2 linked regions of the Nothobranchius furzeri genome follow. The protein of the gene in region 1 binds, or shares a complex with, the protein of each later gene. Links are inferred from orthologs where the notes say so. Each region holds a gene or a part of one and is shown on either strand. Other genes may lie near its edges.

Region 1 (4,368 bases):
CAGGAGGCCAAACGTGAATCTGAACCATCAACTGTCTCCGCCCCCGTCAGCAGCAGCCAATCAGAAGAGACCAACGGGGATCCAGAAACCGACAAGAAGATCAAGAACCTAAAGAAGGTAAAGAGCATGTCGGAGTCTTCGTGTCTGTACGACAGGCCGCTGTAACCAAACACAGCAGTCGTGGCCAATCCTGGTCCTTCAGGGCCACCGTCCCTGGAGGTGATTGGAGGATGTTGGTGGTGTTCTGCGTTGTGATTGGCCAGAGAGTCAGTTATGCATCCGTGTGTTCCAGAAACTGAAGGCCATCGATGAGCTGAAGGAGCAACAGGCGTCTGGGAAAGTTCTGCAGAAGAACCAGGTCTGGAAGGTTCTGCAAAAGCAGTGTAGCTGCCTTTAGAACCACGCCCTCCTGTAACCGTAGATAATGCGTTACCCTGTTGAACCAGAATCTGAACCTTGTGTTTCCTGCAGCTGGAGAAGATCCAGAAGGAGGAGCAGCTCCTGGAGGAGCTGCGGGATCTGCAGGTGGGACAGTAGAAGAAGCCACTCAGTCCTTCAGCCACGCCCTCGTCCCATCATGCATCCCTCTTGTACAGCGACCCAGTGAGGAGTGGCGATGTGCTTGGGAGGGTCTGACTGAGCTGACCCAAAGGTCTGGTGGCTCTTCATCAGGGCAGCGGTTTCTAAGGGGCGGGGCTAATCGCTAAGGTGAACTGATTAGACCTGCTTTCGTTCCTACCTGTGGCAGCACCGCCCAGAGGCATTCTGGGAAGTGTAGGCAACAGGAAGTGCAGTGGTTTACAAATCTAAAGACTTTTGTTTTGACAGTGTTCCTTTCATAATAAAAGCCTGACCCTGCTTATTAGCGTCTGTTTGTTTGTTTGTTTTTTTGTCTAAAAAAATACTGAGCGATAGATTCTCTTTTGGACCAGGTCCAGTTCTGTTCTGCTGCAGCACCAGAACACATTTGTCCTCAGATCCTCATGCGTTAGGGTGTACGAGTGAGTGCTGAGTCAAACTGGTTATAATTAAACAACTAGTTTAGATCCGGTGGTTTATTGTTACTGCCTTGAATCGTGTCACCTTATATCTGTGGTGCTTTTATTCATCCAGTCAGTGATGACCCAAATGGCTGAACCTGTCATATAAACTTCACGAAGAACAATAAAACCACATTAATGGTCGTAGTTAGAACAGGCCATAGAAGGTCAGCAACCAAACCTGCTTCAGGGCCCAGGAAGCAGCAAAGCCAGGTTTCCTTTGGGAAAATGATTTTTTACCAACAATTCCTCTACTTGTATGTTGACCTCATGGAACAGGAGTGAGTACAGCTATAGTAGAAACTGGTATTAGTTGGATGGTGATAGGATTTTGTGTCCTTCAAACAAATATAATCAAGGTTGTACTAAAAATACCAGCTGGTTTTTATTAAATCGCATGTCTGCCTAACCTACAGATGGATCTATAGTAGTAGTGAGTTTATTAGAGGTGTTATTAATGCTTATTTAGTAAATATGAATGCCATGACTATTATGTTTTGCTAAAGCAGTTAGGCAGATCTGAACTATCTGAAATAACATTCCAGTTTCCTGACAGTGGATCAGCTGGGAGGAACGTGTGCCTGTGCTGTTAACTTACGCGTTCAATAAAGTTGTAACAAAAGCGAAGCGGTTTACGGCAGGTCGTAAAGCCAAACGCGGAGGAGGCACTTGCTGGTAAGGTAGTTGGTAAAAGGTTGCTCTCCAGTTCGTTCAGGTTCGGTTTCTGAGCAGAACCAGACCAGGACTCGGATTGTCTGAGAGCAGGGTCAGACTGTACCGGTTAGAAAATCCGCAAAGTCTGCGCATGCGTGAGACAGAAAGCCTCGGGTCCATCAGACCGAACCAAAGTGCTAGTTAGTTTGTGTCAACAAACCCTAACTAGTCCTAACCCTAACCTTAATCAGTGGGATTACATAGTAAACTAGCTGCAGGTCAGAGGTCTTGGTCACCCGGGCTCTTATTTACAACAAATACTAACAAACTCAGGATGTTATTATTATTATTATTATTATTATTGGTACCAGATTGTGAATGGAGTCATATTACTCTCTCTCTAGTTACCATGGTGAAATAATTGGTAAATTGCCTCCACTCCTTACCGACAGTAAAGAGGAATCGTTGTGATATCTAGTGATAATGTGCCACCGTACCCTGTATTAATGCTAACTGCAGCACAATGAGGCAGACTTTAGACACTTTTTACTGTTCCTGTGAAATCTCAGTTTTTAGTGCAGATTCATATTTCCTCCTTGAAGCAGCAGCTGATGACGTCACTCACTCTGACCTTAATCTTAATTCTAATAATCGCTGTAAACGTTTGTTCAACCTACAGAAAATTAAAGGCACAATTCAAGTAAAGTGATAAATGGCCTTTATTTATATAGCTCCTTCTGGGGTCCTACAGCCCCCCAAGGTGCTTTACAACATGCCTGTTTACCTGCACATTCACACACTGGTGGTGATGAGCTACATTGTAGCCGCAGCCGGTGTTCTGGGAACTTCTCCTACCCCGTAAACCGTCCTACCTGTTGTTCCTGAGCAACACAAAAAGGAAATGCTACTCCTTTGTCATATTTGCAGGAAAATAGATCAGTAGTAAGTATTAGTACTTTTTATTGACGTTGATACTTGATTTTTTGGGTTAGGGTTAGTGTCATGTAAAACACCGTAAAATTAGCCTATGGGTAGGATGTTTTCTCAGAACACCTTCCTGTGGTGCACTGACGGAGGCCAGCTTGCCGTACATGGGTGCCGTCAGTTCCTCTAACCACCATGAGCGGGGTGGGGGGTGGGGGGGTGTCTTCCCTAGGTACAAAGTTTTTCCGGAACGGCGCTGCTCTGGGTGGCTGCATGTTGGAGTAGCTCTGTTGACTATATGTAAGTTTTGCCTTTTCTTGGGTATTTTTTCTTCTAGTTTCTCAAGAAAAACTGTATTTTTTTGGACACTTTACTTTTCTGTTTCTGGTGCTGTGAAGCTTGGAGGATTTTTACTGCTATTTTTTTAGCTTTTTTCACTTTTTGAGCATTTGTTATGATGCGTAACCACGGCAACAAGCTGGTTTACAATCGGGAGCAGCTGATTAACATGTGAAAGGCTGAAATAATACCTCAGCTGAAGCCAAAAATCCCAAATGAGCTAAAACGCAAGAAGCGTGGATGCAGAGCGGGAGCAAAACGGAGACAGAGAAAGAGGAAATTCAAACCATCTCTTCCATCGATCATAATGGGCAATGTGAGATCACTGGCCAACAAGATGGAGGAACTCCAAGCCCTTTCAAGGACTCAGCCAGAGTTTCGTCAGTTTCGGAACTGCTGGAGGAGATAATGCAAAGAAGGATTCTCCAGAGAATCAAGAAAATGATGGACAACCCTGAGCATTCTCTTCACAAGACTGTCCGACAACGGAAGAGTCTTCAGTCAGAGGCTTCTTCAGTTTGGCTGCAACACTGACCGCTACTGGAGATCCTTCCTGCCAACAGCCGTTGTAATATACAACAACTCTTTGATGACTTGATTATTATTATTATTCTGAGCTACTACAGCAATCAATTTCCCTCTGGGATTAATAAAGTATTTTTGAATTGAAAACGACTGCAATAAACTGAGCGGGAGGCGAACCTGCAACCCTCCAGTTATGGGCATGCCTTTAGCTCCTCACTACCGTTGTTCCAAGTGTCTCATACTAGTGAAATTATGTGGGATAATCCTGGCCTACTCCTAGTTTATTGGTGATTATGTGTTGTTTAAAGAAATCAGATAGTTTACGTGGCTTCGTTCTGATTGGCAGATCCTGCTGATGGAGGACCAGAACCAGGAGAGCTCCGACCCTGTAGTGGCTCTCAGTCTTTGTGACTCCACCCCACTCCTGTGGCGTGCTCAGGACCTGAGGACCGTCAGGTCTCAGAGTGTGGTGGGGGCCCTGCTCGGCTCACTGCCCAGAGCCCCCAGACAGAACCTCAAACTGGGTCGACCACTGCTGCTGCTGCCAGAGGAGGAGAGACTGCTGAGGGAGCGCCACGCTGCGGCCTTTCCTCCACGGAACCAGGTCTGAATGAATGACTTTACTGTCGCTGTGAGATAACGAGTGCCTCTCCCTGTGAGGCACAATCCCAAGAAACATCACACACTACCAACGGTAACAGAAAATACCGGGCAGACTCAAGAAAGCGTCATAATTCAGTCAAATGTCACGAAGGAGGGTGTAAGAATGTTTACACCCCTGTGACATCATACGTAATTTAGACTTTAAATGTTTGTTGCAGAGCCGTAAACTGGTACTGACCTATAGCAGTTCCAACAGCTGGTGGGTGGGATCAGTGGCGGAGCC
Region 2 (4,260 bases), on another chromosome or scaffold:
GTCACTGGTTCATAACACCAGCAGGGTGCATGTCTTGCTCAAGGACACAACAGACAGAGGCCGGGGTTGAGGCTGAGACGGTGGATGAGGCGGCTCAACTGGTGAGCTGATCGCTGAATGGACCGAAACCCAACACGGTCCTGTAGCCCACCGCTGTGGTTTTTATGGCCGGTACCAATTTTTATAGGATTTTGTTGCAGATGGCCGACACCTAAAGCCGATTATTAGCCCGATATATAAATCCATTTTAGCAGCTCACCCATTGTGAAATGAACACTCACTGTGTGCTATATTAATTAAATAAGTCGAACCTCTTAAGATTTTTTAACTTCAAATGTAAAACTAACTTAAAACATAAAAAACGGTGTGTTGGCGTCCTTTTTTCACTCCAGTAGTGGCAGCAGTTGGCCCCACCGGTGCCTGATTTATTTATTTATTTTAATCGGCTTTCAAAAATAATTTTGACCGACGGCCAAATTGGCCGGCTGATATTTGGGTCGGCCGCTACTTCCCTGGTTCTTGAATTCAGCGCTGCTAATTCCTGCTATCTGATCACCCCCCCCAGTAACCGGAGGGTTGCAGGATCAATCCCCCGTTGCAGTCGTGTCCTCGAGCAAGACTTCCAACAACACAAAAGTCAGTTTTAATAAAACAAGCTTGGAGACATCATAGTTTGATTTGGGAGAAGGTTTAAACCCGGCTGCAGATGTCAGCCGTCAGGCCCCGTCTGCATCTGCTGCTCACTTAAAGAATCATCACAGCTGGATCACAAGTGATGTTTACTTTGTGTTCGGATCGGATATCAAAGACATAAAAATAACAGCAAAGTTAGTAAACCTTTGGTTTCGCCAGACCATCAGCAGCATCCTGATGTGGGACGTTCAACCCGCACACCGGCACCAGAACCTGGTGAAGGCCCACGTTGAGGTCACGCTCACTCTTGTGGCTCATTCTTCATATTCTGAACTTGGGCCACAGGCCGGACCTCCAGCCTGTCAGGGTGCTGGTTTAAATGCACCCTCCTCCGCACTCTCCGCCTACACATCCATCACTGCTTTCTTCTCCGCTGCTTCTGCCGACGACCCGCATCATGGAAAAGTCCCACGGGGGGTTCTGGAGTCACCAACCCGTCGGTCATCCTCTGATAAACCAGGGTGGAGTCGGACGCCACGGCACACAGCAGCAAAGGGAACCCGCGGTCCAGAAGGTGGCGTATGCTGCACAGCAGGGACAAAGGCTCTGTGACTGAATGTAAGCAGGGATGTCGGTTGAAGTCTAAGTTTTTCTCACCTCCTGTGGCTCAGGGAACGGTGAACAGGCAGAGGCAGAACCGTCTGAACTGGACCTCCATCCTTCTCCTTGGCTTCCAGCAGAACCAGCTGCAGCTCTGGACTCTCGGCATAGGTCACCTTCGTCCACTGGCGCACTGCAGAGGGCAAGAATCAGAGCGAGAGAGATGACCGAGTCAAGAGGAGGTCCTTTTCATTTCTGTATCACGTCCGCAGGAGGTTCTCCTTGGCCCGTGTGGGCCGGTTCTACCTGCATGTTAGAGGAGAACAAACCCGAGCCGAGTCGGGCCTAACTCACCCTCAGTGAGGTCCATGAACACCAGAAAAGCTGCGTGCAGCTGTGTGCTGTCTCCAACCTCCAGTTCCTTCATCTGCTGGTACTAGCACAACAAAGACTCAGAGATCCAAACACCCGACAGACTGGACTGTTTACCTCATACGTCACCCTTTCACTACCTCGTTACCACACTCGGGACCAAATGTGAACTTCCTTCTCCTTTTGAGTCTAAATTTCAAAGACCGACAGTCTGAAACTTAGCCAGGATATTGGTGGATGCTTCCACCCTCAGGCCCGTGGTCCATAGACCTCCACTATGCTATGCTTTTCCACTTCCCCCTTTCCTGTAAACATCTACATAACCAAGCCTCTACCATGAGTAAGAGGGTTTTAGGTGTGGTGAACAGCCTCGGAGAAGGGTCAGGTGAGTTTACCTGGTGTGGATGAGTTCAGACTGATTGAAGCAAGAGTGTGACAAACGAGCCACCTGTCCAGGTGTTTTCTGCTCTCTGTAAAATGTTCTGGGGTTAGGGAAGACATCGGTGCATCCCTGATTGAACTAGCTTTTTGGCCAACCAGCACGCGCCAGGCGGGCTTGTTCCTCGGTTCTGCGCTTGGCCCCCACAGGTGGGTTGGCCAGCCGACGGACATCCGGTGCGGGTTCACCGTGGGTTGCCCTCGTTTATCTGTGGGATTTGTCGAGTTCGGGTATTTATTTATGTTTTTTCATTTGCCACGATGCCCACAGATCAGCTCTGCAACCGGTTTACGACGGACCTTTCAGGGTCCTTGAGCCAGGCCCAATATATTTCCTCCTTGGTGTACGGGGGTCAGGAGATGGTGTCCGCAGATGGGCTTCATGTGGAAACTCATCACATTTATGGCCTCAGGGTAAAGAGCTGCCCACAGCCAGGTCACTCTGAGGCTAATAATGTCACATCAGTAGAATAAAAAATGCTAAAAATTGGATGTTACAGTTTTGATCTTATTTTACTTCTTTCTTTATACATTTACATGTACCAATACTTTTTCTGACACGTTTTTTAACGTTACTAATGAAATTTGAGTAAAACGACCCGTTAGTACTGAAGGATAACATATCAGATGTGCCTCTTCTCTAAGGTTCGCTAGCGGTGCCAGAGGGCGCACTGGTGACGTCATGCTTCCGCCACCGGCTCCTCCACTCACCACCGGGTGCTGCAGGATCCAGTTCGGAGGTTCGGTCTCGCCTCGCTTCTTCGTTCCGTCCATCACTTCCGCCATGTTTGTAACTGAACGTTAGAACCGAACATCGTATTTAAACGCAGGAGGGCTGAAGCTGAGCGGCTCAGCACCAGAGCGTTGGTGGTGCGTTACAATAGTTTGTCCGGGTGGGAAAAGGAACGCTTATATTTGGTTCCGCAAACCGGAAGAGCATAGGAAAATTACCGCTGTGTAATATTATAGTGCACCGTTTTATTTGAGGAAAACCGTGAAAATACTTAAAAAATAAAACAACAAACTTATTTAGCTTGTAACAAATTTGACTTTTAGTTTAGTAGACCGTGAGTCTGCTACAGATTATTAACCACAGGGCAGGGGGTCAGGACTGTGCTCAAAAAGTGATGTTACTGATCCATTCTAAAAGAATGTCAAATCATTCAAACAAATTAGATTTGTTATTCATTATTTGAAACTGACTAGTTAATAAACAAAATGTTTAGATTTTCAGAATATCTTCTTTTATATATTAATGTGTTGAAATGTAGAAATAAACTTGTGAAAACAAAGCATTCTTATTTAGCAAGCATGGCATTTTTAACAAACATATTTACACGTAAAGTGCCAGTGTGAATAAATCGTATGGCTCTTCGGTACTTTCATTGTGTAAAAGTAGCTCACGGGCCAAAAAAGGTTGGAGACCCCTGATCTAAACAAAGAGCAGAAGTCTAAAGAACGGCAGATTCAGACGTAGCTGTGAAATCCAGAAACAACAGCCCGATAAGCTCGTTTCACTTGCAGTGAACTCATTTGACTTTGAGGCCTAGGTCCTGTTTGAGTCCCACGCAGAACAATGTGAACACGTGGGTAGGGCCAGATGTGCCCTGGATGTAGTACTGGAATGTTGCACTAGGGGGCACACAAGATCACTCAGACCAGATAGAGCCGTTTTTGTGGGTACAACCAGAACCTACTTAAGCCCCATTCCCATCTGTACCGGGTCGGCCCGGGCCGGGTAGCCCCAGTCGGCCCCAGTCTGGCCCGGTTGTTTCCACACATCCTTGTCTTAAGCCCATGTGGGCTGATTCTACCCACCAATCAGAGGCTTGCTCTAATGGAAGGTGTGAATTTGCTGTCAGCAGTGGGTGTGTTGGCCCTGGTCGGCCTGAAGCAGACCCCCTCGAGAAGAGGGCTGAGAACGAGCCCTGGTTGGCCCGGAAAAATACCAGGCCACCCAGATATGTAAACAACCTACGCTACCCGGCCCGGGCCGACCCGGTACAGGTGGGAATGGGGCTTTAGGTAGGTCACTTTGACTTTAAGGCATGCTACTTTGACCACCCTATCGGTCTTTATTAGAAGGAAAATGTAATGCTGTCAACATCAGCGAGGCTCACAATGGCGACGGAAACTGTCATGAGATGAAGATAAACTGCTACACTGTCTATTAAACAAGAAAACATCAATGGAAACTGAAAAGAAACACAGAAAGAG

The links.
Region 2: the proteins of tsen34 (region 1) and tsen15 are in contact, whole or in part, in a crystal structure (PDB 6Z9U), measured with the Homo sapiens proteins. The link is inferred for Nothobranchius furzeri from reciprocal best matches to the Homo sapiens genes TSEN34 and TSEN15. Residues at the interface, in NP_001070914.1 of Homo sapiens: Pro251, Leu252, Arg253, Phe254, His255, Ala256, His257, Tyr258, Pro265, Glu266, Asp267, Thr268, Ile269, Pro270, Leu271, Gln272, Leu274, Ser283, Val284, Arg285, Lys286, Thr287, Leu289, Leu290, Cys291, Ser292, Gln294, Val300, Tyr301, Thr302; in NP_443197.1 of Homo sapiens: Leu70, Lys74, Trp76, Thr108, Pro109, Ile110, Thr111, Ala112, Ser113, Leu114, Ser115, His116, Asn117, Ile119, Arg120, Leu123, Leu141, Ile143, Val151, Tyr152, Tyr153, Lys154, Leu155, Thr156, Asp157, Gly158, Phe159, Met160, Leu161, Pro162.

The regions. Positions count from the first base shown.
Region 1 is NC_091753.1:55,691,871-55,696,238, reverse strand, and holds the start of tsen34 (tRNA-splicing endonuclease subunit Sen34), read left to right. Parts: upstream 1-1,429; 5' UTR 1,430-1,715; intron 1,716-2,835; exon of another isoform or gene 2,836-2,918; intron 2,919-3,828; 5' UTR 3,829-3,837; coding exon 3,838-4,086; intron 4,087-4,368. Other genes in the region: eif2a (eukaryotic translation initiation factor 2A), read left to right, coding at 4-117, 293-358, 472-537. UniProt on the Homo sapiens protein: Constitutes one of the two catalytic subunit of the tRNA-splicing endonuclease complex, a complex responsible for identification and cleavage of the splice sites in pre-tRNA. It cleaves pre-tRNA at the 5'- and 3'-splice sites to release the intron.
Region 2 is NC_091751.1:70,463,124-70,467,383, forward strand, and holds tsen15 (tRNA-splicing endonuclease subunit Sen15), read right to left. Parts: upstream 2,951-4,260; 5' UTR 2,830-2,950; coding exon 2,755-2,829; intron 1,670-2,754; coding exon 1,588-1,669; intron 1,427-1,587; coding exon 1,291-1,426; intron 1,218-1,290; coding exon 1,049-1,217; 3' UTR 763-1,048; downstream 1-762. UniProt on the Homo sapiens protein: Non-catalytic subunit of the tRNA-splicing endonuclease complex, a complex responsible for identification and cleavage of the splice sites in pre-tRNA. It cleaves pre-tRNA at the 5' and 3' splice sites to release the intron.